4 linked regions of the Drosophila melanogaster genome follow. The protein of the gene in region 1 interacts with the protein of each later gene in a pairwise test. Each region holds a gene or a part of one and is shown in the gene's direction. Other genes may lie near its edges. The genes, in order: CG13157, eIF4G2, msi and CG13630.

Evidence for each region.
Region 2: the proteins of CG13157 (region 1) and eIF4G2 interact in a two-hybrid assay, tested with the Drosophila melanogaster proteins (one large-scale study listed by BioGRID).
Region 3: the proteins of CG13157 (region 1) and msi interact in a two-hybrid assay, tested with the Drosophila melanogaster proteins (one large-scale study listed by BioGRID).
Region 4: the proteins of CG13157 (region 1) and CG13630 interact in a two-hybrid assay, tested with the Drosophila melanogaster proteins (one large-scale study listed by BioGRID).

What each region holds. Positions count from the first base shown.
Region 1 is NT_033778.4:12,412,123-12,420,484, forward strand, and holds CG13157 (uncharacterized protein), read left to right. Parts: upstream 1-3,921; 5' UTR 3,922-4,332; coding exon 4,333-4,750; intron 4,751-5,034; coding exon 5,035-6,020; 3' UTR 6,021-6,109; downstream 6,110-8,362. Other genes in the region: Cpr49Ah (cuticular protein 49Ah), read left to right, coding at 1,940-1,951, 2,171-2,731; CG42782 (uncharacterized protein), read right to left, coding at 7,032-7,172.
Region 2 is NT_033777.3:23,813,779-23,822,307, reverse strand, and holds the start of eIF4G2 (eukaryotic translation initiation factor 4G2), read left to right. Parts: upstream 1-3,070; 5' UTR 3,071-3,327; intron 3,328-3,488; exon of another isoform or gene 3,489-3,696; 5' UTR 3,697-4,081; intron 4,082-5,277; 5' UTR 5,278-5,296; coding exon 5,297-7,067; intron 7,068-7,201; coding exon 7,202-7,339; intron 7,340-7,392; coding exon 7,393-8,295; intron 8,296-8,493; coding exon 8,494-8,529. Other genes in the region: CG34355 (uncharacterized protein), read right to left, coding at 562-778.
Region 3 is NT_033777.3:25,512,890-25,521,547, forward strand, and holds the start of msi (musashi), read left to right. Parts: upstream 1-3,228; 5' UTR 3,229-3,460; intron 3,461-5,433; exon of another isoform or gene 5,434-5,583; intron 5,584-6,371; 5' UTR 6,372-6,733; coding exon 6,734-6,840; intron 6,841-8,658.
Region 4 is NT_033777.3:24,716,199-24,723,907, reverse strand, and holds CG13630 (uncharacterized protein), read left to right. Parts: upstream 1-4,543; 5' UTR 4,544-4,626; coding exon 4,627-4,780; intron 4,781-4,849; coding exon 4,850-5,587; intron 5,588-5,645; coding exon 5,646-5,878; 3' UTR 5,879-5,971; downstream 5,972-7,709. Other genes in the region: Polr2L (RNA polymerase II, I and III subunit L), read right to left, coding at 6,004-6,112, 6,196-6,290; CG13627 (uncharacterized protein), read right to left, coding at 6,600-6,761, 6,823-7,709.

The sequences.
Region 1 (8,362 bases):
CCGGCAGCAACAGGTCAATGTGTGAGTGGGCCACAGTTGTGGGTAGTGGGATGGGGGTTCGGTTTCATGGTGAGCATTTGCGCATCTGTGGTGGTGCACTCGAAAGCTAACCTTGCCCAGCTTTCGTTTTTTATTTTCATTTTCGCCCGTGCGTGGAACTGCAACTCTACGAGTTGCACAACCTGCAATGCATCATCAGCAACAGCAGCAACATCACCACACACGGCAGCAACATTGCAAACCGGGGGCTTGGCGGGCGTTTGACTTGGTGTCGTGGGTGCGGAAGACGAAGAGTTGGCCAAAATACGATGGCCCAGAGGGAGGAGGAGTCGTTTGTCGCAATAGGCGTTGGAGTTTGGCAGCATTTCGGGCTTTATTGCCGGCACTTCGTCGGTTGTTGCACTCGCTGTATATTGTCCCTTGCAAGTTGATCGTCTCCTATGATTGAATTTTTCTCTTATTTCTTACAACGCCTAATATTTGTTTATTTGTTATCTTTGGCCGAAAATGCACTGTAGATTAACCCAATTGTTTGGCAACTAATTAACATTTGCCAAGACACGGGCCCGCTTTGAACTCAATTATCGTCTTGCCTCATCTGCCAGGCACTTTGGCTGTTACAACAATTCGCGCTTCGCTGGTGTTGGTATTGGGTCCGCCAAACTGCCGCAATTACAAGAATGCGAATCCAAATCTAAGTCCGAGTGCGAATCTCAAAATGAATCCGAAACCGAAGCCGCGAGGGAGCAGCATCTTGGATGCACTTCAAATGCGATTCAGTCGCAAGAGAGAGAGAGAGAGAGAGCCGACTGTCGCTTTTGGCCAAGTCAACAACGAAAGCAAAGCAAAAAAAACTCGTTCTGGCATGTTTCTAAATAACGGCATTGCGAAGATGAACGACCGGACGCGCTGGCGGGGGACGGACATTTCGCAGACATTTGAGCCGGGCCTACGAGCGGGCCAAATACGAACAGCGACAATAAGCCGGGCTAAGATGGGTGCCGGTATAAAAGGGGCTTAACAAGGCAAAACGACTCTTCATAAATAAGTAATATATAAGAAAGTTTAATAGATAAGATATTTTTAATATAAAATGTTTAAAAAAAACATTTCATAAGAATTTTCTTGCGTTAAAACAAAAGACTTAGGAAACGAACTTGTTATTTCAATAAAGTATCCCAAGATTAGGGCATGAGAAAAAGGGAAAAGGTCAGAAGCTATTAAAATTAAACATTTTTAGAGCTGATTTTGCTTTGCGAAAAGAAATAATTTGTTTTTTACTGTGTGCGCATTTGCAATTTTTTCGTTTTTTTTTCATTATATAATAATGACGGTATCAAATTTTACAAAAGGCGAACACAAATTATTAATCCAAAATTATTATGGAATGTTAGCTTTATCCTTATAGTTTGTCATAGTTCTGGATTCCTTTTAAAATCATACTGCCTCAGCCTCTGAAAAAGCCTCAAACGAGAGCGACAGTGAATTGTTTTTTTTTTTACGATTTTAGCATTTAAGCGTCGTCGAGCCTACGAACAACAATTACCGATCGGTCGGATCAGACAGCTAACAAAAAATAAGAGCTTCCATGGCAAATTCCACTTCCACTCCCATCCCCTCCCATCTTCATCGGCAACTGCAACTGCATATCCATCTGCAACTTCATCTCCATTAGAAACTCCATCACCAGCAGAAATAGCAAATGCACGCTCTCCCATGGAGGCTCACCTGTGTGGGTATGGACACGAGTGCAACAGGAGGATCGGATCGGGTCGGAGCAGAGCGAATCGCCTATATAAGACCAAAATAGGGCCGCGCTTGGCACAGTGTCTAACGGAGCTGCTTTCACTAGCCAGTGCGATCAGTGCCAGCCAAACGGGCGACAAAGCGGGCCAAATCAGTGGAATACAGTGGATAAGCGGCAGAGACTCCTTGCGAAATGAAAGTGCTCGTAAGTGGTTCACATAACCAATCACATAAAATCGGTCAAGTGATTCTCGATGAATGATTGGCAAACATTGCAACAGTTCGATCTTCTCAAATATAAAATTTATTGGTTTACATTACATCTAAAGGATAGGATTAAATATTCTTTTTTGTGATTACTTTGTTTGGAAATCGTAATGACTTGCATGTGTTAGTAAGCTTAAGCTAATATTTATCCTTTCAGATACTTCTTGTGCTGTTGGCCATTTCCTGCCAAGGACAACACCACCATCAACATCAGCACCAAAATGTGAACAACATACCACGCGATGACAAACCAGATCATCATCGTCATGAAGATCACAGAGAGACCAGCACCTGGATACCCATAATCAAGTACAACAAGGAGCAGAGTGACGATGGAAGCTACAAGACAGAATACGAGACGGGCAATAGCATCATTCATGAGGAAACCGGTTTCCTCAAGGACTTCGACACCAATCCAAATGGGGTGTTGGTTCAGCATGGCCAGTACTCCTACCAATCCCCCGAGGGAACTCTGGTCAATGTGCAGTACACGGCCGACGAGAATGGATTCAGGGCCACAGGTGATCACATTCCTACTCCGCCGGCTATTCCCGAGGAGATACAGAAGGGTTTGGATCAGATCTACGCTGGCATTAAACTGCAGCAGGAGCGTCTGGAGCAGAGGGCCAAGACAGATCCAGACTTTGCGAGGAAACTGGAGGAGCGACGCGTGGCCAACCAGAATGGCCAGTACATCGGTCTGCTGGAGAACCAATAGACGAGCTCCGCCCATTCCATTCCCCCACCGAACCGATGATCCTGGAAACGTAACTTCTTCGCATTCTATATCAACAACAACAAGACTGTGATTTCATTCTGCAAGCTCTTCCAAATCCAAATCGCTGTACCACACTGAATGATAATCGTTTAATAACTTTTGAATTTCCCACTAAGTACCATAAAACCAACAGACAGGGGCGCTCAATCAAATTAATAATATTTTATTAACGAGTGTGAAAGTTTCGCTGCTTTGAAACAATAAAAGTAAACTAACGTTTCCATTATGCCGAACCGACTTGATGATGGACTTACCATATTTTCTGGCATTATTTTTTTCCGTTTTACAGCTGACCATATCCACGATGTTCAGACAAACGTGACAAAGCGTTTATGGGTCCTCATTATTTTCTCAAAGTATTTCCCCATTTACCGTGCATCTTTCGTTGCTTTATTATTTACTTCGCAGATCGAATTACGTTAGTTTGTTGATCCCATTCCATGCAGGTTGGGTTTTCCAATTTTCCATATTTCTACATCGCCGCCATGGAAATTTTCTTTCGAGAGGAGTCTCTCGACTGGTTGCCAGTTGCATAATTACGACAGATTTTCCAGTGCCATTCGACTTGTCTTCGCGGGCAGGCGTTGCATGTGGAAAGGCTGAGGAAGCCAGTTGAAGTGGTCCACGAATGGGTTACTGGCGTAGCCCCGATTTCGCGCCGAGAAACCTCTTCGTTCTGCCAATTATTGTATTTAACGTAGGCTACCTTTACCGTTTGGCATTTCGAATGGAGTAGCCCTTGGCTACGCAAATATTGAAACCAAAAACCACTGTCATCAGGTTGAAAGAACAAACAACCGAATAACCTTTTGGGCCACAAAACGGCAAACGATTTGGCCACCTAACATATTTGCATATAACGTAAACACACTGACTATACTCTGCGGTTATTTCTAGCTGAATATAAATCAAATCCGCTGCATTTTCACCACCGCCGTAGAAACAGACCCCGAAAGCGGGGCCCCGAAGAATGTTTATTCGCCATTAAGTTTCAACGCTCTTGCGCATAATTAAGACGAAAAAAAAACCATATAATAACGAAGCCGAACAAAGGAAAATTTCTATGGCCCGTGATTAGAAAGAATCTTTCTTGTGGGCCTGTGCGGTGCTGGAATTGATTTGGCCAACTCAGTTGCCGTTTACAAGCCGTCGCGTGCAGATCGCAAATCGCCAGCAAAAGAGATACTTCCTCTACAATATACAATATCTATAAGAAAGCTGAAGATCGAATTCGCAAGAGCGTTACACCGAAAACTGGTAGCGATAATACAAATATTTGTTTGTGGGGAGTGAAAAGAAATGGGGAAGTGAAGTGGTTGATCGACAGAAAAGTGAAGATGTGAAGAACTGTAGATGTGAATATTACATTGACATCGAAGCAACGTCAAAGAAAAAATAGCAGAAGCCAAAAATTAAACAATAGATTGTTATTGTGGCTGCTGAAAACGAGAATGAATCAATAAACCTATAAAAACGAACTGTAAAATTGAAAAGTAGCACAGCATCTGCAAAAAAAGAAGATAGACGTGTTCAATTTAAATATGGTTAGTCATTGGAAAGAGTGTCTACTGTGGTCGCTGATAGCCCTCAGTGGCTGCCAGCTAATTGCCACACAGCAGCTGCAGGGTCCTCCCCGTCCCAGGGGGCGTATACGCATTGCGGATATGCAAAATCCCGTTTCAGTCGGCGGAGCACCTGCTCAGGCATTGGGAAACTGGCCAATTGTGCCGGCTGCAGGCCCCATCAGTTCCACTGTGCACACCCACATTCCACTGTGGCGCGAGGAGACCGCCCCCCTGCCGGCCACGCCCAGTCAGGAGGCGGTGGTGTACGGCAACTGGAAGCCAGAGCATCCGGAGAGGCCCGAGAAGGTGGACACGAAAATCGATTCGGAACCGCAGCCCAAGGAGCGGGTCTACGGACGCCTGGAAGCCATGCTCATGGGATTGCCGGCAGATGGTAAGAATTCAACTTCGAATGTGAATTTCCTATTAATATAAGTATCATTAAAAACAAGCAAACGCTGCTAGAATTTAATGAAACTAAAGTCTGCTTAGTCTTTTATTTAATAGGTTAAATATATTTTCAATAACCTGAATTATTAATCTCTAATGTTATTGATTTATATTAATGATAACTATATTGAAACCTAAACATCTTTTTAAAAAGATCTTCATGTAGCGTTTAATTTGGTCTCTGTTTCGAAATTGTTTGCTCATGTCTCAAATACTTCTATGCCGCAGCTATTGATGCCAAGCCATCAAGTTCCAGCGAAGAGCTGTCCGCTCCTATTGCCCCTGGTGGCTACCAGAATCCTGCCTATTCCCGACCAGTCAGTCGTGAAAGTTCAGCAGAGAAATATGGACGCCGGCGCATCAGTACTCAGCAGGTGCCACAACAATTCGAGTTGGCCAGGGTCAACGATTCGGAACCCATATTGAAGGCAATATCCAAGCAGATCAACGAGTCCGTGGAGACGACGACGGACAATCGAAGGAATTCCAAGAATTCCGCCGACGACAACTGGTTGCCCCTGCCGTATCCGTATCCTTACGATACCACAATGCCAGCTCCACCTGCAACGAGCTCCGTGGTACCAGGATTTATGCAATCCTCGGTGGTGCATCCACCGGTTCCCACACAGCCCACTAGATCCACTGCGGGTCTATTGAATTGGCCCACTGATTTCATCGATAGCACATCCCTTACGGTGAGCACCGAAAGGATAGATGGGAGCATTCAGGGGAGCATTGACCGGCGCGACGAGAGCGTCTCTGATCCTGTGGACGAATACAAGTACTACGAGGATTCTCTAAACTCCGCCCAGATGCACAGCGAACTGAGTGTTCCAGAGACCGTGCCGCTGAATATAACCCGGGTGGGCATTCCTTACGAGGATCGAAATGCCTCTGAGGAGCCAACCATATGTGTGCCTCTCACCGTCTCGGAAACTTCGCTTTCCTCCGACAGCATTGTGCCCCAGTTGGTGGAGGTCGAAAGGGTCTACTGCTTCCCCCTTCCCAAGGTGGAGATACGTCCTGGTCATGCTCGTCCGCAGGTAGAACAGGTGACGAGGCAGCAGGAGATACTAGATGCAGATATGGATATACAGCCAACCCAAGTGGCTATACCGAGTGATTCCGGCGCCGGATCCCCGCAAAGATCACTTGGCACGCTCGCGGTGCTCCTCGTTATTGCTTGGAGCTTCCGGCGAGAAAATAGTATTTAAATTTAGTATCACTTGACCTTAACACAACTCAGGGGCTATTCGCTAATTACACTTACTTAACAATTAAACCTAAGCCAACCCATACAATTCACTTCAGCTGTTTTTTTATTTTGGGTGGAAATTGATGGGTCATCAACTTGTTTATCTCTAAGAAGAATATATTTTTCATATATTTCAATGAATTTAGAATAACTCTCTAATCTACCTTTTTTCGTATCCTACCTTTAGTCGATTAGTCGAAGGCGTAAACAAAAGCTGATAACGACCTGCACTTATGTAGATAATGAATTCTTAAGCATTCCTTATCTCTATGGATTTTTTGATTAACAATTTCATTCATAGAAAAATACTATTCGTTGTAGAACTGTAATGAAATAATTATATAACTAGGTAGGACATCCAGTCGAGGTGTAAAGATAACCCATCCAAAAATGCAGTAAATTGAATCTAATCGAATGCATATCATGCTTACTACGAATTGTTCGTATCTAATCAGTCAAGCGTCAGAGTGTATGGAATCAATCAAAATTTATTTTTATATACATAATGTATTTATTGGATTGGATCATATCAGATGATGCCTAACTGTGAAAGCCAGCATTGCATCAAAGTAACGACATTATTATCAATTGTAGAAACCTTTGCAAAAAGAATCTCCTAGAACCGGAAAGTAGGGAAAATATTTAACAGCTTTAGATTTTAGTATAATATATACATATATTCCAGACTAATTTTTAAGCTTACCAGAAGCCTAACCAAACTATGATTACATTTATTTATGACAGCCACATTCTCACCCAAGTGAAATTGTTTTAAAAGGGAAAGAACTTTCAAATTTATGGGTTGGCTGCCGGGCTCTGAGCAATAGAGTGTCCTTGTAAAGTGACAATAAGTGCGCCCTTCCTGTTAATCAGTACAAAGTTCGAAAAGTAGTAAGCAATGCTGTTATTAAAACAGCCAATATTCTTTAATGTTCAGAAATTATTTATTTCTTGTTATTAATTCTTAACCCTACATGGGCTGATACTGGCAATAGTTATTTTTGAAAACGAAATGTACAGGACATTGTCTGATAATTTCATACGAGGATGCCATTCCCAGTCCAACCATCAAAAGCATTAGCTTCAAACCGGAATATTGGCTGATAAGCATTGTAAAGTTGGATTTGATAATGTTGAAAGGAAGCTCAAGTAAACACGTTCACTGTGTTATATCGCACTAATCACTAAATCACTGAGTCTCAAATTTTACAATTTATAGCAGTTTCGAAAGACGCTTTTAATTTAAAACAGTCAGCTTAACACACCTACTAAACTGAAATATATTCCTCTCGTCGCAAAAACTATTAAATATTATTTTATTATTTTTTTAAGTACTATTCAGTTTTTCAACACCCTATTATTGTGCAAATCACATCATGAAATGGCTAAAGTTGGCTATTAAAGAAAAGCAATAAATAAATAATATCATTGTCCTAGAACCAGGCACACCTTTTAATATAATTCCCATATATTTATTCCAGACAAGTAAGGTGTATCTGATAGTCAGGGAAATGGACTATAGCATTCTCTCTTGTTTTTAATCTACAATATAACAATTTTGTACAGCAAAATTCTCATTTGACACTATAAGTTAATTTTTAATTTTACCAGGAGGGTTACTGAAATCTTATTTCACAGACCCCTTTTTCGCATTGAAATCCTCTCGCGCCAACCGACGAAGTGTCTTTCCATTGGGATTGGCTGGTAGTTTATCCGTAAACTGGACACCAGCATGGAGCTGCTTTTGAATGGAGGGAAGTCTCTTTGCCACATGATCCGCAATCTCCACGGCGTTAATTGAGGAACCATTACGCTTCACCACCAGTGCACCAGCAGCATCGCCCTGCTGCTCATCATAGATGCTGATGCTTAGAGCTTTCCTTTCCAGCTGAAATCAAAAGTACTTCTGGCCGTCTGAGCAAGCATAGATCGTATTTATCAAAAACTTCAAGTAACATAAGACCAGCACCATCTGCCCCAGGCTCCATATCTCATGTTATCTCAGGTGGTTCGGTAATTTTAAGTGATAAGATGATGTTAAATTTAAATACGCTTTGACTCCTTTGGAATAACAATAGATAATATAAGATTCATTAGATGAACGTTTGCTGATGACACGTGCATGAATCATATTGTAATTCTATCTAATCAATTAACTATATTTGATTATGTTAGTGCCACAATAATTAATCCTCGTGACTACGCTTATCACGCCTAACATACCACAGAGGAGTATTCTTTCTGAAACCCGAAACTTACGGTCTCAAAAACAAATATAAAATGGGGATTATAACCATTCGC
Region 2 (8,529 bases), on another chromosome or scaffold:
TTATTGAGCCATCTGGTGAATGTGCCGACAAGCCACAAGATAGCATTTATCTCAGCATTCTTAATGAATGCCAACAAAAAAAAAAAGCGAAAGTGTTTTGCACGCTGCCTCATCAATAAATTCAATTCGCATGGAAGCTATTCTACCGAAATGTTAAAAATGTTCAAATCCTGTGAATCTTTAAAGTTCAAAGAGAGGATTAAAGTTGGCCTACAGGTCGTATGAGCAATGTTTAATTAAAGTGTCACATAGTAAACAGAAAGGAAATTATTGTGAAGCGCTGTGCAGTCAATAAAGTATAACTTGAGTTGATTTGTAAAACACCCAGGATTACTGAACAAACTCCACTTTTTTTTATTAAATGAATTGGAATGATTTGGAATAAAAATAGACCAGCATTCCCTGCTATTATTATGCGTCTTCTTTCCGATTCTGCAGTATTAATTGGTGACCTTTCCGCTCCTAATATGTGACCCCTCGCTGTCCGTTGGCACCCACACAGAGACACTTCGAAGGACACCCACGGGACACACGAATGGAGGATGGGTGCCACTCACTTACCTTGACAGACGTGGCATTGCAGGAGCACTGCAACAGCAGCAACAATAGCGAGCTGCGACCATGTGATGATGATGGGTAATCCGTGGGCAATCGGCGTGCTCGTCCTTGTCGATGGTTTTATTGTTGCTACTGCTGCTGATGGGGCTTCCGCTTGTCCCTGACGACGCGTTTTCCACGAGGTGGTTTCCCTGACCAACCTGCTCGCTTTCCTCCACATTTTCGGCTGGGCGATTGAAACAAAAGGCGGAATCAAAGCAAAAGTAATTTCGTTGGCTCCCAAATTTTTCCACTCGTATCGAACTTTTGGATGCCTCGACGGTTACCAGAATCCTGCGCTTGCGTGCGTGGGTGAGAATGCCCGGGGTTTTGGTTTTTCGGGCACAGGTGCTTCCAGGCCGGGGGTGGGGCTTAGGTGGGAGTTCGGAATTCCGCGCTTCGACCTTGTTTCAGATTAGGTTTTCTTAATTTTGGTGGGTTTCCTTTAAGCCAGCCAAAGAGCTTGGCGGCAAAGTGTAGTAATCCGTAGTCCTTGGCGAAGTCCTTGTTTCGAGGTCTCAAAGTGCTCTATATACACACATTGCTTCGCTATATATATACATTTATCTGTATGTACTGTCGGTTGGTTATTAATTTTCTGTTTACTTTTTGTATGTTTTAACTTGTAACTTATAGTTGCATAACATTTGCTTTTTGCATTTGCAAACAATGCAATTTACGAATACCGCACTTATGAATTTCTTTTAGAAATTTCTCTAATTATTGCACAATTTTCACATTAACATTTATGGTAGTCGAGCTTATACGCGATTTACTTTGAGTAAATCTTGTGTTTGGTTTTATTTTAATTGATTGTGTTAAATAAACGGTAAAAAAGAAACGAAAAAGTTTTATTTTGGGCTATGCCCATTCTCGTTTTAACGGGTTTTCAGTTCGCGCACTATTTTTATTCGTTTCTACATGGATGCCAAAATTATATGAGTAATATAAGAGTTGATTTCGTAACCGGCTCAGGTGCAGTAGTCGCAGTCGGTTGCAATTTCAGTTTGGTGCATTCTCTTCTTGTTGTGCAGAATTTTTCAGCGCCAAAGTGGAGGAAAGTGATGCGGGAAAAAAGCGTTACGCGCGTCAGGGCGAATCAAGCTTCGGACTTAGTGTGACCGCAGCGGGAGTAAAGGAATTCGCTTTTGGTGTGGCTGCACTCGCGTCCCCGAAAGATACCATGCGGTGCTGAAAGAAATACCAAATTAAATCATTATGGGTTCAAAATATACCAAAAAGCAGAGGCTTTTTTTTTAAGGGGGATTCAATTAATAAGTATACTTTTAAATAAATTAATAAGATGTAAGACGATATTATCTTTGAAAAATGTATAAAATTTAAATAAAACTTTAAAAATCGTATCTTTTTGATCCAAATTTCGGAAAGTGTTGCAATTTCATTTTCGAATTGTATTGTCAAAACCTGCCGCTCAGGTAGCGCACTCAGCGACCGTTATATTCAAAATGTTTGTGCTGAGAGCAAAATTATTGAAAAAAAGTAAGAGCCTCGTCCATTTACTCATCTGTTGTCCTCACACTATCTTTAGTGCAACCGCAAAGGCCACAAAAACATGACAGTACGCACAGGAAAACAAGCATTGCAAATGACTTCACAACTGAAATGGAAAAAAAAAAATGCAAAATACGGACAGTCCGTATGCGGTTTCGTTGTGCCAAGTTAAAATATTTGCATTTGCGGTCTAGTCTTTTTGCATTTTCAACCACCAAATAATCCCTTCAGACTCTGTTTGTGGGCTCTATGTGTATATAATTTTTTTAGGCTGCAATAAGGCTCCGAGTTCATTCTTGCACTCGTTTTACTTTAAAGTTTTGGCCATAGTGTATACTGAGATAAGGAGTAATAAGTAGAGAAGGGTATAGCATTGGAAAAACGGATACTAGAGGGAGGTGAGGGCGCAGAGTAAAGGATTATGTGGGAAGTGGAGGGCGTTGCGCATCCGGCAAAACAGAAAGAGCAAAACTTTTACTACAAGCGCGTAAACACTGCAATTTCTGCACGAGGGGTAGTCTAAGAGCATTAAGGGGAGGCAATCCGGAAGTTGCGAATGGAATGGAAACAGGATTCTGCGCATATGCTGTCCTACGAATGCGTAAATTATGAATATATCATTCAAATTAAAATGTAAAGTTAGAATAAACAATAATAACAGCGAAATATGTGTGGAATTTATATGATATTCTGCGTCATGCACCACAATGCGCATTATATAATAATTGTTATTATAACACCTGCATAAGGCCTATTTTTCTATTTCGAAAGAATGATTATTCTTATGATGAAGAACGTTCAAAATATTACGCGCCAAGCTTGAATCCAAGTTCTCCACCCCGGTTTGAGGACGCACTAAAATGTATAATATTCCTGCGGGATATTTCTGGAACTTTCACAATCGATATTCGCTGCGTAGACATCGATGCTGCCGCCATCGAGTTATGTTCCATCCCTACGTGCAACGGTCACTCTTATTTCATCAAACGAAACGGACGTGTTTCTGCAGACTATTTACATTACAAAATTGTTTGTAACAGATAGTGAGCCGTGTATACATAACGAGGTGAAGCAGACGATGCACTAATGTAAAGGCGCAGTGCCAGAGCAACTTTTTGGCGTGTTCCCCGCGTGGAACTGCATTTTTTTTTGTTTCCTTCCTCAGTTTTGTGTGTGGAGTGCGAGCGAGAGAGCGTGCTAGCGAGCAGGAGCAGAACGGTAAGTACTGGCGGCCAGACAGAGACAGAGAGAGCGCAAAAAAAGAGCGAACGGCAAAAAGTCAAAACGGTAAAAAAACATAAACCAACGCCTCGCCTTTTCGGGGAAAAGTATTACCTGAAAATCTGAAAAAGGTTAAAAACCTACAAAAAGTCCCCTTGCCATTAGTGTCAAATTACGAATTGGCACTTGGCTGCCCATTTCTCATTCTCAATCCGGGGCTGAGGCTGCTCAGCTGGACAAGGAGAGGGAATAAATTCGTAGCAGGCGCTGCTTTGGTGTTCATATTCATCATATTGTAATTTTGATTCCTCGCAATTGCAAAATTTAAGCATACGTTTTAACTTCCTCTAACGCCTTTAATTACAGAACAAATTACCGTGAAATTTTAGCACTAGCCGTACGTTATTTTGTATATTTGTACGCATGTACGTGTACGTGCCCCTCGTCCGTCTGCACAAATGCAGATGTGCATGTGCATCACAGTGAATTGGAGTATTTTTATACATGGAATATCTGAGCTATTGTAGTATTCCGGATAGAGCCAACAACCACAAAGACGAGGAGTTTCCACGAGAAATAGGAAAAAGGAACGGAGGAGCAAATAAGCAGCAGCAGGAGGAGGCGTAGAGCTTGACCAGGTGTCAAGGGAAGCCGGATAGGCTTAAAGGCAGGTCTACCTTAGGAACTAAGAAATAGGATAAATCGAATACCCTTATAATCATCACATCTACCAATCGAAGCACAGGAAGCGGTAAGTTTCGAAATCTGACTTACAACTTACTCCCATTCTAGTATTTGCTTGCTTTTTCACGCAATTTACATTAATTGTTTGTTTATTAGTTTAATAACACACTACTACTACTATAACACACTGCCTCCAGTACGAATGCACTCCCAATAAGCGATCGCGATCCCATTTAGAGCAGCACCCACACACTCCAACTGGTTTTGTTTACAAACAAACATGAAACAAGTGAGCCTATCTGCCAGCCAGGTTTTCGTTTTCCTCGCCATGGAGTGAAAAGAGCCATGCACGTACTTCGTCTGCTGGAAAACTGGTTTTCTTCTGGCTTGAAGGTGCTTGGCCGCAAACTGCAGCGGAGTTGGTTTTTCTAGGCCAGCAGAGAGCTCCAAAGAGAACACCACAGTGAATATTGGCCAATGTTTGTCTTCATATTCTTATCAATCAGCATTGAACGCTTGCTTAGCAAAACAACAATGAAATTCCGTTTGGTAGTATTATAACTAAAAGAAATCATATCGTAAACAGTTTTAAGTGATCTAGTTCTTGCGGTCTCCACTGTGCCGATGGAAGTGCTGACGGAATGCCAAACTGGTTGTAGCCATAAAGACGACAGCAGCCCATAGCTCACCTCCTACGCTCGCTGGCAGCTGCTTCTTTGTGGCTGCCTTTGTTTTGTTCCGCTTTAAGGCCAGTACTGACTAATAGCGCCACTTGTTACCGTGTGTCACCTATGTACAAGTATTTAGGCTGCGCAAGTGACTAGTCCATTGATAAAACCGGCGCGATAAGGTGTCGAGCCATCTTCGAAAGCATTTTGGATGTATACACGCCCCGCGAGTGACATCATACACCACATTCCAATTAAAGAGCTCAATTGATTGAAATATTAAAGAATAAAGAAAAGGGTAAAAGAGGGAGTGCATTTGTAAAATAGCCCTTAGTCATAAGATGTAAACACATAATTTGCATGATCATTTTTGGTTGCTTTTGCACACGTTTGATTTAACTCTCATTCGCATGTACTCACGGCTTTGACTGAAAACCTAATACGCCAAGCATTTTCCACATCGCCAACTCCATTTTCACTTTCATTTCCATCTTACTAACATTACGATTTGTACATCTGTTTTGCTCTGGCCGCGGTTTTCCTAACTCTCCGTGTGTGCCTGTGCGTGTGACGGTGCGATTGTATGCGTGTGCAGATCCTTCGAAGGTCCTCCTATGTTCCCTCAACAGGGAGGGGGTGGGAAGGGAACCAGGCCACAGTCGACACATCAGCAGAACCACAACCATCAAGCCCAGCATCACCAGGCGACGCACTCGCACCACCATCACCTCCAGCAACAGCAGGAGCAGCAGCAGTCCCACGCAGTGTTCGTCCCGAACCACAGCGGCCTGCACCACCACCAGCAGCAGCACTTACTGCAACAGCAGCAGCAGCAACACCAACAACAAGCAGCCGTCGCCGCCGCTCATCTTCAGCAACACATCCAACAGCAACAACAGCAGCAGGTGCAAGCCCAGGCCCAGGCGCACCACCAGCCGGTCATCTTCTACAATACCCAGCCGTCCTACGCCGCGCATTCCGCGGCGGTTAACAACAGTGCCAACGGCGGCGGCGCTACCCTCCAACTGAGCGCCGCCGCCAGTTCCAACACGTTGGGACATCCTCTTACTGGTGGTCACCATGGTGGAGCAAATGGCGTGGCGCCGGGGTCAAACATGCCTCGTGCCCTGAGCAACCCAACTCTACCACCCCACTTTCAACAATCAGCTGGCCTGATCGCACCTGCCGGCGGAAATGCGGGTGGACCCTACATTTCCGCCACCTATATACCAATTAATCAGACCGGACCTCTGATGGGCATGCAGCCAGCTGTGACCTTTCCCACTAACGGAGCGGCTGGAGCTTCATTCTATGCGGCTGCGCCACCTCCTCCACAACAGAAACAGCTTCCTCCCACTGCTCAACAACAAGGTCCAGGCGGGGCACCGGGAGCTGCTCAAACGCCGACACTAGCTTACTACCAACTTGGGCCGAACGCTCAAAACTCTGCTGGAAACAACGTGGTTAGTGGTGCCAATACACATCGCGGCAATATGCGCGGAGGGCAAAGATCTACTCCCACCGCCCAACATACCAACTACTTTACCGCATATACCATGGCCCCAGGAAATGCCCAACGTCCCGCTCCGACAAATGTGGCTCCAATGATGAACTCGCGCAGCGGTGCACTGAACGGAGCTGCTGCTTTTCATCATCTGCCGCACAACTTTGGCATTCCCAGTTTGGCATTGGGACCGCCCGCCGGGATGACGACCCCTATTTTGGCTCCGGCTGGAATGCAGGCGCCGCCACCCCAACCACCAGGCGGGCTGCACACATTTGCTCCGCACTTGCAGAGCAACAGCGCCACCACCTTACCTAGTGTCCCAAGTGTGACTGGAGTTCCCGCGGTGGCCAGTGGTTTTTCAACCACCTCGCTTCCAACTCCGTCAGTAACAACAGCACCGCAACTGGGGGCCAACAGCGATAAGGTATGCAAGCGCAAATACGCCATTCCCATCATCCATCCTGACACCATGGAGAATGTGATGGATGGATGGAAAAGATCGGTTTTTATAAAAAAGGACTCAAACTCGACACTAACACAGCACACAGATCTGGACACAGCTCTGGATGACAATAGTACCTTGTGCCTGTACCAGGCGCCCACTCTGATGGACTCTGGCTCGGGGTCATCGTTATTGTCTGGCGCAATGGTAGATCAGCAGATGCAGACTGTGAAGCCGGCGAGTTCCCTTAAGCAGTCCGTTTCCTTGGAAAAGGTGCCAGAAGCGGTGTACTGCAAAGACGCTGTCGGTCAGGACGTACACCCATCGCCTCCACCCAAATCAACGGATAAAGATCAGATCAGCGTAATTGTAAAAGACATACTAGCCCACTCGGGCAACGCAGAAGACCATCTAAGCTTCTGGCAATATAGTGACGGTGAGTTCATAAAAACGTCCAAATTTTCTTTAGAATTGTATTTGTAAACGAAGGGAAGCATCTCAATATCGTTGAAATGTTGAATTGAAGTTAGCCGGGCTTCAAGTGTCAAAGTCTAATGATTCCTCTTGCAGTGGACAATGTCACGGAGACCCACAATAGCCTGCCGCTAGTACAGTCGGACTTGCCCGATACAACCGATACGTGCCAGCAGCCAGTGCTTTTCCAAGAGCAAGCCAAAAAGCAACGTCCCAAATTGGCCAACAAACAAAGTATGTTCCGTGACAATTAATCCATTAACGTCGACTAAATTGTTTGCTCACAGGTACAGCTACGCCAGCATCCATAGCGAATGACGTAGCTGAGGCAGCAGCCAGCGGTTGCCCAGGCGTCTCCATCCTGTCCAGAGGCCAGTCGATGGTAACACCAGCTGGCCCCTCGACACCCCCGCCACCTTCGCGTGTCGCCCAGCAGAAGTCGACCAAGTCGATAGTTACCACAGCTGTAGCTGCGTCGGTTAAGCCAACAACGGGTTCACCCAACAGGAAGTCGAGTATTCAAGCCGCCACCTCGACTACGACCAGTTCGGGTGCCTCTTCGTCGACAGCCTCAACACCGACCCACGCATCTAGTAAGCTTAAACAGCAGCCTGTTAACAATCTGCAGCATGGAAAGCAGATTCCAGGAAAAGTATCAACTCCAGCATTACCACCGACTGCTTCACGAATCTCGGCCGCTGTTACCCTGCTTGCCGGCACCGCGAACATAACAACCACTACCAACTCGTCCAAGAAACAACGGCAGGCCCAAAAACGGGCCAGGGAGCTGGAGAAGAAAAAACAGAAATCCTCGATAACAAGCACTACAAGCACTCAAGGGCAGAACAACAATGGCAAGGGCAATGGTAATGGCAACGCCGCGCTAGAAATTAACACAAATAGCAACAATGCTGCCACAGTGACCACAACATCAATGAGCACACTGACCACAACAACCACGGCAACAGCACCCACAACCAAACAAGAAACGGCGGCTGTCGATGACAAGGAGACGGCGCAACCGACGACTGATACGCTTAGTGCAACTAGTAATAATACTAAAGTAAGTTCTATTCTAAGAGACAAAAAAACTATGCTCAATCCCAAGGAGCAATTGACAAGCCACAACAACAACAACAATAATAATAATGAGGATGGCATCGAAGCGAAGGTGGAAAGCGATCCTGAATGTAAGTACAAATTATTTAATTTACAAAAATTAGTCTTTTAAAATTAGTTACGACAAAGCATGGGAGCGTCCTATCTTTATACATACAGCTCTTCTAGTTGTTATTTTCTGTGCAATTCTTTTCATAGGAATTGAATTTCCTAAGAATTTATCTTATAAAACGATAACGATAGTCAAATAAAAACATTTTTTTTTTCAGCTGACATCAAAGACGACAGCATGTCGAACATTACCG
Region 3 (8,658 bases), on another chromosome or scaffold:
GGGAATAAAAGGACAATGAAAAAAGTTGCATACTTTGGGGCTGTTGGGAAAAAGATACTTTTGTACTGCTACATTTCAGGCGGAAAACGGTTTGAAAGGCATTTTAAGTGCTCTACATTTAATATAAAATATATATATATTTAGAAAGAATTCAAAGAAATATAAAATCAAGTATATGCTTTCCTTATACTTTTTGATCACGAAGTTGTATACAATTTTGAATTACTGATGCGGCTAATATTTCTCGAGAGAAAAAATTCCACATGTAATCCGATTGTATAGAGATATTTTCGGAAAGATTTTGAAATCATCTAACGAACAACCCATTTCCAAAAATCCTGCATGTACGCCTCTTTCCCACGGATGCAACGTGCTCATTAACTAGACGTGGCATGCCTGGCAGACGACAGCATCTCGCCTGCCCCTCCGTATAATGCCGTCCGCCCCCATATCATGCAGCAACTGCCCCCTCTTAAATCTGCAGAAAATCAGCGGCAGGCAACATGTGTTCCTGATATTTTTATGGCATTGGATACATACAGTCGGGTTCTCAGTTTCTCGATGGCAAAAGCAGGAGAAGCCTAAGCTGCCTAATTGTTATGTGCACAATTCGCAAGCAACGGGCATAAACAGCACTGTGATTTGCCGACCTACAAGACCATGCCACGCACACCAAGGACACCAAGGACCATATAGGACCAAAGACCATGGCAGAGTCATAAAATTTTCATCTGGCAGTAGTTTTAACGACTCAAATCGGACTTAAGGGCTCACCGAGGACATTAATCTCGGCGAGGAATGAGGAAGAATGGGTCCTCACTGAAATTTGCTAGCGTAAGCATTAATGAAATTGTTGTCATCCTCGTATGACTAAGCACTTAAGAAGTGTTCATAAGTGTTCATAACTATATAAAATTAAGGAATATTCTAGTATTTAAAAAAGGTAACTGTAATGGCTAAGGCATGAGTATATAGGTATTTGTAAAATAATTAATTGCCTAAAAACTTATACCCATTAATATTCACTAATAATTCTTGCATAAAAGCTGCATATATTTCTTCTATTGAGCCCTAAATCTCTGAAAGCGCTTTTTAATTTTATGGCTGTTTCATTATTAGGCCAATAACCGACGTTGCCCGCTGCTGGTTAACACCCTGCTCCTCTGCCCCTTAACCCCAGAAGGCCCCACGTGTTCGATTTTACTGCCGGCCAAGGGTTTCACTCCTTTCTGCTGATCAATAAAACGGAAGCTAAATCAATTAGCCAATGGCGGGGTAGTGGGAAACTTCTTGGCACTTTCATGAACTTCTGGCCGGTAATTAAAATCCACCCACAAATACCAATCTGTACTGGAACAGATTTCACTAATTACTTTTATGACCCAAATTTGCTGAATGCGCAGTTTGCTATAAATTTCTACCTTTGAGCGGTAATAAACTCTGGGAACATCAGTTGCAGACTAGATATTGCCATTGATATAGATCAATGGCTTATTTTGTCCTGTTGTCCTGTATTCCTGAATGGATCTTGGGGTCTTTGGGCAATCTACATCTATTAAAAAGTGTGGTAACTGTCAATAATCTAAAATGTATGGTATTAAAATATTTCAGTTGTTATAATTGTTGTATAATTGTTTTTAATTCTAAATTCCAATAACTTATTCTAAAATCTTTTATAATGAATTAAGAGGTATCTCTTAGTCCAGAAGACGTATGACGACTTTTTCTAAGAACATTTTCTTTTTATTCGTTTCAGTCACTTCTCTCGCCATTTCCGAACTAATCGAAGACGCTTTCTGGCAGAATTTATTGCTGCTTCGGCGGGGGCGTGGCAGGCGGTGGGCGGTTAAGATGTAGACGAAATGGAGGCGTGGCAGGGGCAAAAACTGCTCCTTTGACCTGTCTGCCTCAGTCACTGTTGTTGCTGTTGCTATTGTTATATATTTCTCCTTCTTTATCGCCCGAAGCTCTGCAAACAAGTTTCTTGTGTCCCGACAAAAAAGGAACCAACATGAAAAAATGGACCAAACAAAATAAGGGAAAATATATTACAGAAAAAAACTCTTTTTCGCCGTCAGCTGCTCGATTGCAGAAAACTCGTTGCGCTTGTTGCGCGTTTTGTTGTGAATTATAAAGAAAATAAAAAAAGGAGCAAATTTCATGAAATCTTGCTTAGGAATGGGTAGGCCTTTGATGTTTTTAGGCCGTCTAATAAGCCGCTGAAATTATTGTTTTAGATTTTTTTCTTCTGATTTGGGAGCGCCCGTCTGCGATTTTGCAAAAAATTTGTGTAAATTTTGAATTTTGCGGGGGCGTGCCGACATTTGGTAATTGCGGTGGGTGCAACAGGCGACAAAAACGCTATAAAATAAGCTATAAACTGGGATTAAGTCGTTGTTTAACAATCATATAAAAATGGTAAAGGTAAAATAATAATAAAGTGTGTGTTAAATAAAAATTACAATATTACAAGCATTTCCTTCAAATTAATTAAATTAAATTTTTTATTGCACTTAAGCAACAATTTTAAAGTACCGAAAAATACCAAGTAAATACCAAATGATGCTCATTTTCATTTCCCCACTGAAAAAGCCACAGCAACAACACTACGTCGCAGCATACGGGACCGGAAGTTAGAGAGCGCTCGAGTGCGAACGGGACAACAGTATGAGTCCCAAAAGTTGTTGCTGTCTCCCCAAATGGCGTTTTTTGAGCGACTTCGCCGCAAACAACAACGCGCTCTCAGTTTATGGGAGAGAGAGTTTGCTTGTTTTTGTTCCTTCGCTGGTGGTGTGGTGGGGGCGAGTGAACCGCTTATGTTGTGGGTGGTTGTTGCCATCGCATCGCAAGAGAGAGAACGATTCCGCTCTCCTTTTGGATTACCCTGTACTTCAGAAATTCCCAGAGTATATTGCGTTTGCAGAGTATTATTTTAAAATATATTTTATATTATATCTATTTTTTAAATAAAATTCCTAAAGTAATTTTTTAAATTATATTTATCATTGGGAAGTTAAGCTTAGTGTATCTAAAACTTATTGTATCTAAAAACCGGGTATCTGCAAGTTGGAAAACTCGACCACTTGTTTTATTTTATTATGCTTGCCGCAAACGACAAACAACCGAGAGAGATAGATCGACAAAGAGAGGAAGAGGTATAAAAAGCGAGAGGCGGTGAGAGAACTTTTCCGCGGGGGCCGCTTGTACTTGTATCTGTATCTTTCGGACTCAGTTTGCCTGCGACCGTTACAACAGCCAGTTGATTCGAAGCGGAGCGATTCGTGGATTCGTTTTCATCGTGTCGTCGTCGTTTTGTCGTTGATTTCCGTTTGTGCATGCAGATAAAGCCAGGTCTTAACTTGATTCTGGACTGGGCCGAAAATCGAAATCGAAACCGAAGTGGGCTAATGGAAAATAAACAAACAAACAAAGCTTGAATTTTGTTTGCCGCGCATTTAAAGTAATTCCTATTTGTCGCCCCTAGAAAATACAATAATAAGAAAATCTGTTTCTGACATGTTGCATGACTGAATTAAATTACGTGTTAAATTGTTAAGCTAAATGAACAAACCGCATCCATAAAACGGATGCCAGTGCATGCAAATTAATTAAAAATACGATTCGAAATCTCTCTACACATGCATGCACAACCCATCAAGCTTTATTCAAATCAATGACTTGAGCGGCTAAATAAAATATGTATTTCATGGCTATTAAGATTATAAACAAAATTTATCATTAAATCTAAAATCAACTTTCATGGTTTATTAACTAATGATATGTTTAACTAATGAATGCCAAAACATAAAGCAATTTAATTCGCTATGACTAAGAGACCGATAATCCATACAAAAGACGAGTTCAAGATATGTGTGTATAAATAATATAAAACAATGAACTCTCAGCTCGAGATAAAAAGCCCAGTAATTTGACTAAATAAAACATGTGTAATTAAATAAGTGCTTTACTAATAAATTGATACAAAATTCAATTCAAATGGATTAAATTTATATCAAATTTCGATTCGAGATTGGTGAACATTTGTGCACTGGAGAAAACCATCAATTTTTAAAACAGAAAAATCCATTATCAAACTACAAGCTGTGGTTAATGTTTACTGTGGTTGTTGTCGGTGACTAGCTCAGTTTTATCAACAACAACAATTTTGCGTTTCAGTTTTGTGTATTTCTCAACGAGTTGTGTACGATAAGAACTGAAAGGAGACCTAAGATTTGAAGAAAATCAGAAATGGCTCTAGGGAACTAACGATAATGAAATATTTTACTACAATTTAACAAATTGTCGTTATTTAAAAGAAATAAACACGCATAAGCCCGTGTACAGTTCAAAATCCCATGGAATATGTGACAATTAAATTAATTAAGCTTAAACAACAGATACGATAACTGAACACTTTCCAACCGAAATAAATTTGATTTGTAAATTTCACATAAATCAAAGCGAAATAGCTGGCAATCCTTCCCTTCAACTGAATTAAACAATTACTCTTTGTTTCTCAGTTTTAAGCATTCAAAATCAACAAAATGCGTCAGCTGCGAGCTGAGCTTTAAAAGAAATACGAGCTGAGCAAACAATATAAGATAAACACAGAAAGTCAAGTACAGTCAGTGCTCCAATTTTGTAACCCACAAATATATTTTAGGATTTTCCCAATAAAGTAAAGTGCAAATTGTTTAAAACGACAGCTCAAAAATAAGTCATGGTTTTTTTTTCGAAATATAAATAAAATAGTTTCTGTTCTTTACACTTTAATGACAGTAAGTTAGAGCCTATAAATAACAATTACTTGGAAATACTGAATTTAGTTGCATACATGCTACAAAGTAAGCTCTTAATTGTTTTTTTTTTATCATATTTTTCGACGTTTATAAGAATACGTATTTTATGAAAATCTGCAAAGTTGCTTAAAAAACCTTCAACATTTCCATGTTTGAAGGATAGATAATGGAGTTATCGTTGAGGGTGTTCCACTATTCCAGAGCTCACTTTAAATTGGGGGGAGAACAAAGCGGGCTATAAAGACGCTCGTTCGGCGACTCAGTGTGCTGGCTATATGCGACTATATGGCTATATTGTAGGCCTATTGTCTGGGGAAACTGCATGGAACTGCATATCGGAAATGATTATGGGGGGAGTACCAGCTTGATGACGGTAGAGGCGCGATAAAAGACACACAAAAGGGGGGAGAAAAAAAAAGGTTGGTACGTCATTAACTGACTCAGCCGCATGTTGCATCCAAGCTTTTTTTGTTGCTCCTTTTTCTGCTCAGTATTCACGTCCTGCAGAGAGAGTCCCAAAATCCAGAGAGAGAGCGTGGAGAGCGAGCGGAGAGGGAGAGCGGCAGAGCTTCAGCGCAGCACGGCGAAATTCGCTGAGCTCGCCTTAAACAGTTCGCAGCCGCTCCTTCACCGTTAGTTAAAAAAAATTCCTTGCCCGAAGCGGAAGGATTGTCGAATTTCGTGGATTTTTGCGAATATTTCCCGTGTAATTTTCGTCACGCGTCGTTTATTTGCACCAGCGAGTGTGTGTGAGTGTGTGTATAACGTACTGGTGTGTGTGCGTGTAAGTGACTCAACTCGAAGACATTTTTGTTTCTTTTGTCGAGGGACGCTTCTTTGGTTTTTTATTTCTCTTTCACATATTCGCATATTCTTTTGCGGCGAATTCAATGACGTCGCAGAAATTTGTTTTTATGCCATGAATTTATGTTTCTGTATGCGTGTGCATGTGTTTTTGTTCAAGCAAATCGATTAAATTTATGAAAAATTAATACGAAAACCGGCAGCGAACTATACAAAAACTATGCAAGCGATCCAAGACTCAAATGTTTTTAATTAAAAGCCGTGTGTGAAATATTATCAAACCGCAACGGCAAAAACAACAATATTTTATCACCATTTTGAGAGCGGCACGCACGTGTGTGAGTTCTTGAGTGTTAGTGTGTGTGTGTGTGCAGTGGCGTGTGTGTATGTGTCGAAAAAGCCGGCAATGGCAAAAGAGAATTCAGAATTCAGCATTGAAAGGCGAGAAGCAAAAGGCAAAAGCGAATGCCAAACAGCGAAAGTAAAAGCGTAAAGCCAAAACAAAGAAATGCCAAAGAAAACCCAGAAAGCCAAAAAAAATTGTTAAAATTAATAAACAATAATGCAAATCAATGTTATGGGAAATGGAAAAGCGCTTCAGATACAAATATCAATGAAAACACAAATATTGACAAATACATTTAATGTAAACATTAAAAAGTTGCATGACTATATACTTTTACTAATAAAATAACATAATGCATTCTTAGAAAAAATCCATAAAACATGTTATAACAATAGTTTAATAATACTTAATTTTTTTTCTAGAAAATCTGAAACCTTGCCATCTAATATTGGTGGTATTAAAATGAGTATTACCTAAGAAAAACAAAAATAATTCAGTGCGGTTATAAAATACATAATATTTAACAAAATAGTTGCAAAAAGTCAACAGAAAAGTGCAAAAAGAAAAAAATCTCAAGAAAAACAAAGTATTTGGTGCGACCTAAAGTGATTTTCTCAGCGTGTGTCTTTGGGATAAGCGAAAAACCAGCAAAATTTACTGCTTTGGAAACTCCGCTCTCAACATAAGCACCAACAACAACACCATCAACCCCCCCGGCGGCAGCAGCACCCACCTCCAGATTCAGCACCACCAGGCTCAGCACCACCCCCAAAACAGTGCGAGAATGCTGTTCGAGAATCCGGCGGTTGCGGCCAAGTTGCCCTTTCCGTACAACGTGCCCCCGCCCCTGCAGGCGGCGGCGGCAGCAGCGGCGGCTGTCCCAAATCTAAGGTGAGTTTTCCACTTTCCACGACGGAAAAGCCTGAGATATTACACTGAAAACTAATTGTCACTTATCTTTGATATGAGATTAGATGAAATTGGTTGTATACATTCTTATATGTATGCAGAGTCCGTAAAGTCAGCTTGCTTCATTTCGAGTCTTTGCTGCATACTTTTAGGCGCAACAATACGGATATATAAACAGTTATCTTTATAAAGCCCTTAGGATTATTTAAGAAAAAGTAGATTAATATATATCTTAAATTGTTTCAGTATTTTTGGTTCTGCCTTTGTGAAAGATTAAAAGTTTCTAGAAAACGATACAATCTACTAAGATTTTTTCTACGTGTAGCTGAAAAGTAAGAACTCTGCGCGTCTCAAGGCCATTAAAGGCGTTAATGCGCTTTGAGGTTTTTACTCTCTGTTATTTTTTTTCGCCCAGTTTTTTCCCAACTTTTGCCTCAGTGGCATATTTATGAAAATTGTTTTGCTCTTTGCTTCTTTTTAAATTTTTCATCAGGCACTCAGCCTCCGTTTGAAACGCTGGTAAATTTTCCAACCTATAATTTCACTAAGTTGCTGTCCGTAAATTGCATTCATTTATTATAAGAGATTGAGGCAAATATTTATATTGGGAATGTTAATATCGCTCATTTTGGTCTGTACTGGGCTTCTTATTACAGTTAACAAATCAAGAAAAAGTGTCAATATTTTAGAACAGTTTTAAATAACCTAAAATAATTATAAATAGCTTAGTTACAGTTATTAAGCCTATGCTCATTATGCGAACTTATTGTCCTTACTTTCAAGTCCTTCACAAATAAATTAAAATTAATGAATTGCATTCCACTCCAGAATGTCCGCGATATTTTTCCATTATGAGTCACTGTCAAGTTTTGTAAATTTGTATTTTTTTCGTAATTTTCCTGAGCCCGGTAATAAATGATTGTAGGCTTGGGCGTTTTTATTAATGCCCTGCTTTGGCCCTAAGTGACGTTTTTAATGAACCATTTCGTGGCACAAAAATGAGAGTAAACGGTTTTAAAAAGAGCCTTGCTGGTAAAAGCGAACTTTACTGGCACAAAAAATTAAAGCCGACATTCAGGTTCGTCAAAGTCATTGGAACTTGCTTTACTTTTGATATTAAAAACGATCGTCTGGCGCCAGTCAATTAAGAATTTTAAGTTTTTAATTTTCGCTTCCTCAGTGTTTGCTTTTCAATTAGCATTTTATTTATTATCTCATAATTATTTCGCTCGGCGTGTGTCAATTTTTTTTCCTTTGCTTGGGGAAACTATTCATATTATCCGATTCATATGGCAAAATCATGCTTGGGGAAACTATTCATATTATCCGATTCACATGGCAAAATCATGCATTCTTTAAGTGTTTTGCTGGTACACTTTTTCGATATTGTAGCTTATGCAATACTTTTCAATATTGAATTGCTTGGAAGAACAATTGTGTACCTATTTTCATTCGCCAGCAATGCCAAAATAGATTATGAAATTTAAAATTATCCCCATGGCACTTGACAGAGAATGGAAACTAGAGCCAAAAATCGAAAGAAAAACAGAAACGCCGGCGAAAATCGTTCATCGATGGTCAGAGAGCATAGACAAAGCGTTGATTGGATTTAAAGTGACAGTAATAAATGACAAGAAAGGCAAGTTTCGTTTATAAATACTTGTACCAAACTGAAAAAAAAAAATGTGGCAAGCAAAAAAAAAACAGAAGAAGAACTTGGCTGGCTGTCTGAACTTGCACCAGATGAAATCTGAGGGAAGATGCGAGAAGCCAAAGAACGTGCTAAATAAACAGACATCG
Region 4 (7,709 bases), on another chromosome or scaffold:
AACACGGCCCATTGGAGACCAGGGATGCGCCTCACCTTGGCATCCCAGTACAGCGTAACCCATCTCATTTCATCATCATCCCTGCAGCCACCCTGCTGTTATTTCGGGTCATGAATAACAATTGCCAGAGAGAAACCAACAGAGGAGCAGGCATCCTACAGAAATATGGCGGCAAAGATTTCTTTTTATGGTGATTGCGTGGGAAAATTGTTGGCAATGGGCTACAAGGCCTGGCAGGCCGGCGATAAAATATGAAAAGAATAAAAGCGTAAAGCAGCTCCCCCAATGCAAATATGAAAAGCGAGTGAAATCCTTTTAATTTGGCAAATAAAAAAGGGCGACTGGGCCAACAAATTCCAGCGAGAAAATGCCCCCCGTTGAGCAAACTGGCGACTTAACTTCTTGCTTGTAAATGCGTGCAAGTGAAAACGATCCGAGAAAACTGACGGCCAGTGAAAAGTTTGTGGCCCAAGTTGGGCTTTGGCCAACTAAAAAGTGGCGAAACCACGGCCAAGGCAATCGAAGCCATTGAGAGCTCAATGAATAGCTTTGCAACGAGGCAAATCTATAAGATATCCTTGACCCTTAAGAATGCCTCAAGATTTCCCGTTTCACTACCACTACTGAACTACCCAATTAGTCTATCGTGCAGACTTTGAAATATGACAAAAAGTGGAAATACTCATAAATTAGTCTCAAGCAAGTAAGTGAAATATAAAATCTGCTTAGTCTTTAATTAATTACACATGGAATGGGGCCACAGCAACGACGACAGTATTCAGCCAACTGGAAGTGGAGCCACTCACCCACACTCATCCCCAGTCAGGCAGACAAACAAGCACTTGCGACATATCATTAACTTTGCTTTATAGCAACCGAAATTGGGAAGAAACCAAGTGATTCGGAGGGAAGGGGGTGCAGAAAAAGTGGCGTGGCAAAAGATGAAGTAAAAATACAGAAGAAGTAGCTTGGGGTGACACTTTCAATGGCAGGGTGCTCCTGTTCTCGAGGACTTTGGAGGAGGATGTGGATGCGACGGCTGCTTGTTAGCAGGATGGTGTCAGCTGTTGTGCCTACATAGGGAAAAATATTTGTATTTCATGGGATCTTACACTGAGAAAATTCAGCGAGCAAACTAATAACGTGCAAGATGTATAAAAGGACAGGAACTTTTGGGTATTTTTCGCAAGTTAATAGTAAATAACTATGATTGAGCCATTTGAAGAATATAGAGACCTATATTTTTATAAATTTTTTTGTTATGTGTAATAAAGACCCTTTCCAAAAAGCCCCCCAATTCATGGCTGCTGTAGCAGATACAGAATACTTAGTAATATCCATAAAATAACTCAAATCTCTTTTGCAGATTTGCCACCCCGCCTGGTTGGCAGGTAAATTTGGGGTTTAATAATGCCTGTGGTCTATCCGGCGTCAAGTGCAGTTATCTTCGGCTGTCCACCTTTTAGATACCTTTTAGATGCCTCCACAGCTCCTCGAACTTAATTCGCTTTTAATTTTTACCCTGCTGCGACAGCTAAAAATGCGGAAAAATCCCCATTGCCATGGCAAAAAAAGAAGAAGACGGAATATAATAAAGTGGAGAACAAGAACCGAAAAATACAGCAGAAATTTGTTAAGCAGGCGCTATCAGTCTGAAGTGCGTGTTCCAGGAAGATGAGGGATGTGGAAGATCTGGGTTCTGGGATGTGGGATGCGGAAACCCAGGGGCTGACAAAGGCAAAAGGAAGTGGACGAGGTGTCCTGGGAAAGGGAATCCAAATGAATTCTATTCAAAGCGCTGCTGCCACAAAATATGAAATGAAATGTTGTCGCTGGGGAGCGAAGGGGGAGGGTGGTGGAGAAATGTTGTTAAGAAATGCATACGCGGGCAATTTTTATTCCTTGCTGTACTGTCCTGTTGGTCCTTCGTCCTGAGAGGGAAGGGCGAGGGAAAGATCCTGCTGCTTAAACACGAAATGCTTAATGGCCAAGTTGCCACAAAACGTTTGCCAGACAAGGGCCAACTCACTGGAGCAAAAATGAAATGCGTTTTCTGGCTCCCAAGGACGAAGGACCTTCCCGTCTGTATGTCTGCCTATGTGTGTGTGTGGGTGTGCTTATTGGAGCGTAAGCAGCCTGGGCAACAATATCAATATGCGTCTTTTGTGCCAAAGCATTTCCCCGCTAACAATTCTACGCCACCGGAAGTTGATATTCTGGCAACCGGAAGTGTTAGGTGTACCGCCCCAGCCCCCCCCCCCCACTCCTCCACAAACTCAATTCAAAAATTTCATATTTTCCATTTCATATTCTTCCACCTTTCTCTACGCATAAATTTCCATCAGCTTCCATTCGGCTGGCACACAAACAAACAAAGTACGCACTGCGCAGCATATGAAAAAGTTCCGAAGACGAGCAGGCAATGCAACCAAAGCAAATTAAGGCTGATGTCTGCCTTCCTGGACCATTTTGGCCTGCCTTTAATTGCCGTCGAAGATCGAGGATCGTTGGTCAAAACAAAGGGGAACATAAAAAAAGAGTAGACTGACTGCCGGGGAAAAAATAAATCAATAAAAGGCCAGACAAGATGAGTTGGGTACACAGAGATCGAGTTCGTTGCCATCGCATAGGAATTCCCTACTATTTCGCGGCTTTTCGCGGCCACCTTGACTTTCGCAATTGTTCCGTATTGCAAAAAAAAAAGAAAAAACAAACAAACAAAATAAGACACACATGTCTGTGCGACACAAAGCGAAATCAGAAATGATTCTATTTTAATTATGCCGGCGGCCTTTAGATTGCCAATTGACGAGATATGTGCTGCGTCTTAACGACGGAATGAAAAGCGGAAAAGTGGAAACCGCACGGCGAAGATAATAGTGTGTGTGTGGCAGTGTGCCTGTGTGTGGTCGCGTAAAACGCAGAACACCCACCAATAATAATCAAGCGATGCTGGTGGTGCTGAAAATCCGGCGGAGACGGGCCGGGGGATTCTCACTGCTGCACACACCGCGTGCCGTTTTTTATTTATAGCCATTCGAATGCTGCGCTCCTATCAGCAGCAACAGCAGCAACAAAGAAGCAACACCTTCAGCCATAGAAACAGCAGCAACATATGAGATTGCAGCAACAGCGGTAACTAAAAAAGTTGCAGCAACATACGCGATAGCAGCAGCAACATTGACATCAGCAGCCGCTTTGGAAACAGCAGCAGCACAAGAGACAGTAGCAACACATGTGACAGCAGCAACAGCAACTATGGAAACAGCTGTAACACATGCAGCAGCAACATATACAGCAGCAACGACAACAGACAGCAGCAGCAGCATCCTCAACAAAAACAGCGTGTTTACTTAACTTATTGTCGTTGGGCGCGGGAAACCAGAGAAATGAATAATAATAAACATGTTCAACGCAAAACCAAAGATCAGGGCAGACACTGATAACGCTGATTTCAATGCACACACACAAAACGATCGTAATCGAATTTCAATCGAGTACGAAGATCACGAGGACAAAATCAGTAATTGGAGGAGCGAAAACCCTTGAATTCACTTGTTGAGTTAGTTAAGTTGCGCTCGCAAATGATGCGAAACTCTGCCGAAATCTCAGCATCCCTTGCAGGTAGAAATATTAAAGGGGTCCTCTTTTTTTTTTGGCCAAACCAATTCGAAACAAGACACTCACTCACTTCACTGGCCAATAAATTTATCCTGCTGCCCTTTGCGGATATTTGCGTTTGGCCATTTGACTCAAACAAGTTTGTTGCCAATATTCTTTTGTTTCGCGACACCGATTCCGAGTTTACAGCGAAAGCACGTCCGTTCACGACCGAAGTTGCTCGCGATTTGAGAACATAAACAGAGCAGACAGATAAACCGAGTCCAAGTCCAAACTGTTCCCACCAAGAGCATGCGCCGAGAACAACTGCGGAAAAGTGCCCAACAGGCGGCTGCGTTTGAACTGCCGCCCCGACGGACGAAAACAAAGGCCACGAATTCACGGGGCCAGTGTCCCTTAGCCAGATCAAAGATCTCCGCGAAGAACTTACATATTTAATTTGTTTACTTTCAAATTTCGAACGATTTTAAACCATTTGTAAGGAAAGCCCTTATTAACTCTTTTCTTATGTTAATTATCATATGAATACTATTTACGAATCACTTACCATAATAGTAACATTTTAAATGGTTAAATACACATAAAATGGTTATCAAGTTATTTCCAATTTTAAACTAATGCCCGTTACAGCCGGCGACGAACAACCCTGGCACAAACGTATCGATAAGAACAGAACTGGTCCCAGGCTATCGGTGCTTGGAAAACATCGGATATCGATGTAGCGCCATTCTTAAACATTGATTTGGTATTTATTTAATATCAACTTTTTTAATGTTTAATCAGAAAACAGTATTTAATATCAAACCAATAGAATTATGATTTTGCTTGAAGCGTAAGGCAAATTTCCCAAAAAGCCATATTGCTTATATATTGTCATATAATGGTATAAAAAGGTATTTATTTTAAAGCTTCCAGGTATTTTCTATCGTTATCGGTGCGGTCACGCTGTGTTAAACTATTTTTGGCAGGCACGGAAATTTTTCTCGCATTAATTGTTGAAATAGAATGACTCAAAAGTGCGAGACAACCAACTGCGGCAAGGATGCGACCCTGCAGTGTCCCACCTGCCTAAAGTTGGGCATCAAGGGCTCATTTTTCTGCTCGCAGCCGTGCTTCAAAGGATTCTGGAAGGAGCACAAGGCGATTCATGCTTTAGCAGGTCAGTTTTAGAAAGTCTTGTTCCTAATGAGTTGGATTGCAATGAAACCATATAATTCTCTTGACTCAGCCGGTGCCTCGAACTCTGCCGAACAGGATGGAGCCTACAATCCATGGCCACATTTCCGCTTCACCGGCAAGCTCCGCCCGTTCCCACAGACTCCCAAGCGAACAGTTCCGAACGCCATACAACGTCCAGATTACGCCGATCATCCAGCAGGACGTTCACTCTCGGAGGAAGCACTGCGGGGCACCAAGATTAAGGTGCTGGACGACGAGGAGATCGAGGGCATGCGAGTGGCCGGCAGATTGGGTCGAGAATGCTTGGATGAGGGTGCCAAAGCCGTGGAGGTGGGCATCACCACCGACGAACTGGATCGTTTGGTCCACGAGGCCGCCATCGAACGGGAGTGCTATCCGTCGCCCCTCAACTACTACAACTTCCCCAAGTCCTGTTGCACATCGGTCAACGAGGTGATTTGCCACGGCATCCCCGATCAGCGTCCTCTACAGGATGGAGATCTATGTAACATCGATGTGACCGTCTATCATCGCGGCTTCCATGGTGATCTCAACGAGACCTTCTTTGTGGGCAATGTCTCGGAGAAGCACAAGAAACTGGTGCAGGTCACCCACGAGGCGCTCAGCAAGGCCATTGAGTTCGTGCGTCCGGGTGAAAAGTATCGCGATATTGGCAACGTGATCCAAAAGTATGTGGCACCACATGGATTCAGCGTGGTGCGCAGCTATTGCGGTCATGGCATTCACCGTGTTTTCCACACAGCTCCCAATGTGCCTCACTATGCCAGTAAGTTTTCGAGCTGGCTAAAAGTACTTTGAATATTATTAATGTCCTTACTTTGCAGAAAACTCTGCCGTAGGAGTAATGGCCCCTGGCCACTGCTTCACCATCGAGCCCATGATCTCCGTTGGCGTCCAGAAGGCTGAAACCTGGCCAGATGACTGGACTGCTGTGACCGCCGATGGCCTGTACTCCGCCCAGTTTGAGCAGACACTGCTGGTCAACGAAACCGGATGCGAGATTCTCACCAAGCGTCGCGAGAACAACGGACAGCCGTGGTTCATGGACAAGATGTGAGGGTCGACCAACTTGGGCTAATACATAACTTCTAGGGCTATCGATCAAGCTTTAATTTGTAATTTTACAATAAAATCTAGAGTTTTTATTCCCAAGTCCAGTTTGGATGGTTTCCATTGTGCCGTTCACTTCTCCAGAGGAGCATAGTTGAGCAGTTTTTCGATAAGATCCACGTGGCCCAGGAGCATGCGACGGCAGCAGTACCTCTTTAGACCCAAAGCATCCAGGGCATCTCTGGGATTGGATTGTAAGATATAATATATATATATTATATGATGAAATGCGGCGTGGAAAGGAGACTTTCCCGCGTGACTTACCCTTCGGTGTATTCCGCTTGCAGGAGACCCAAATACGACTCCCACTTGTTGCCAATGACCTTGCCGCAGGTGAAACAACGGATTGGAATAATCATTTTGTAGATCAGGCTCTAATTCTTAGTTAAATCACGAAAAATGTGCAATCACAACAATGTTTTTGGTAAAATGTGTTTTTACTTGTCATGAGTGTGACCAGAGTGCAGTTGTATTTTTATCTCACCAGCATTACAATGTATCGATAACACAAAAACTTATATCCATTCAAAAAGAACGCTAACGAATATTTGAATAAATTAATGGTTATTTTTATTAACTACCGACTGCTCGCTACATGAATGCGTTTTTTACAAATGAGTGTGTAAATAAATATTTTTGAACAGCGTCGAAGACTAAAAGTGCGTTAACTAATTACTGCTGGCCGTGAGATGCTCGCCGGCCACTTCGACGGAGGTGGATACCTCGAACAAATCTTTGGCTGACTCCTCGCTGTCGCCGTCGTTCCGACCCGCACTGGACACATCCTCCACCGTGCCCTTTTTCACATCATCCGATCTCTTTTGCAGTCGCTATACAAGGAAAGTCTCAAATGTTAGCATACGGAAGAATTTCTTGTCTAATTTTACCTACCGATTCGGCGGCCTCCTCGTCGGGCACAAAGATGCGAAGTGGCGTGTTGGCGCCAAGTTGCTGCTGCACCAATCGCTGGTGCTCCTCGAATGCACTTGCTGCTGGATCCTGAGCCACCTGCTGCTGCTGCTGCTGTTGCAGCTGCTGCGGCGGATGGTGCTGCACTGGTTGCTGCAACTGCTGTTGCTGCTGCTGCAATTGCAAGAGCTGCAACTGATGCTGCTGGTGTTGCTGCTGCAAGTGTTGCTCCTGTGCCTGTGCCTGCAGTTCCTCGAACTGCTGCTGTTGCTGCTGCTGGTACTGCGCCTGAGCCCTCAGCTCCTCCAGATGCAGCTGATGCTGCTGCTGTTGCTCCTGGGCCTGCGCCTTAAGCTCCTCCAGATGCAACTGCTGCTGCTTTTGCAGCTCAATGGCGGCTTGCTCTGTTTCCAGTTGCTGTCGACGTGCCTCCTCCTCTGCGTAGGCCTGCAGCAATTGGGAAGAGTCGTGGGCATGGCCATAGAAGTTGGACACCACGAAGCCACCTTCCGGAACGGAGGCAGTGACCGCTGACGCCACATTGGGCAGGTGGAAGGAGGCCGTCTCGTAGGCACCCTCATTGGGATCACCCAGTGCCGGAGCGGCAATAAGAGCAGCATATTGTGGCGCCGAATCAAGTACAGGATGGATGTTGTGATGTGGATCCTTGGCTGCCTGCAGTATCTGTCCATTGCTGGCTACCTCCTGGGTGAGATCGGCGTTCACGTAACCCGTTTCCACCACCGGTTCCGAGCTGGGCTTGAAAAGCTGCTGCTTGTGGGCCGAGTACAGTTGGTTGGACTGCGTCACCAGGTAGGTGGGATTATAGATGGGAATGTGGGCAGCCGGAATGGCGGCGATAAAGGACT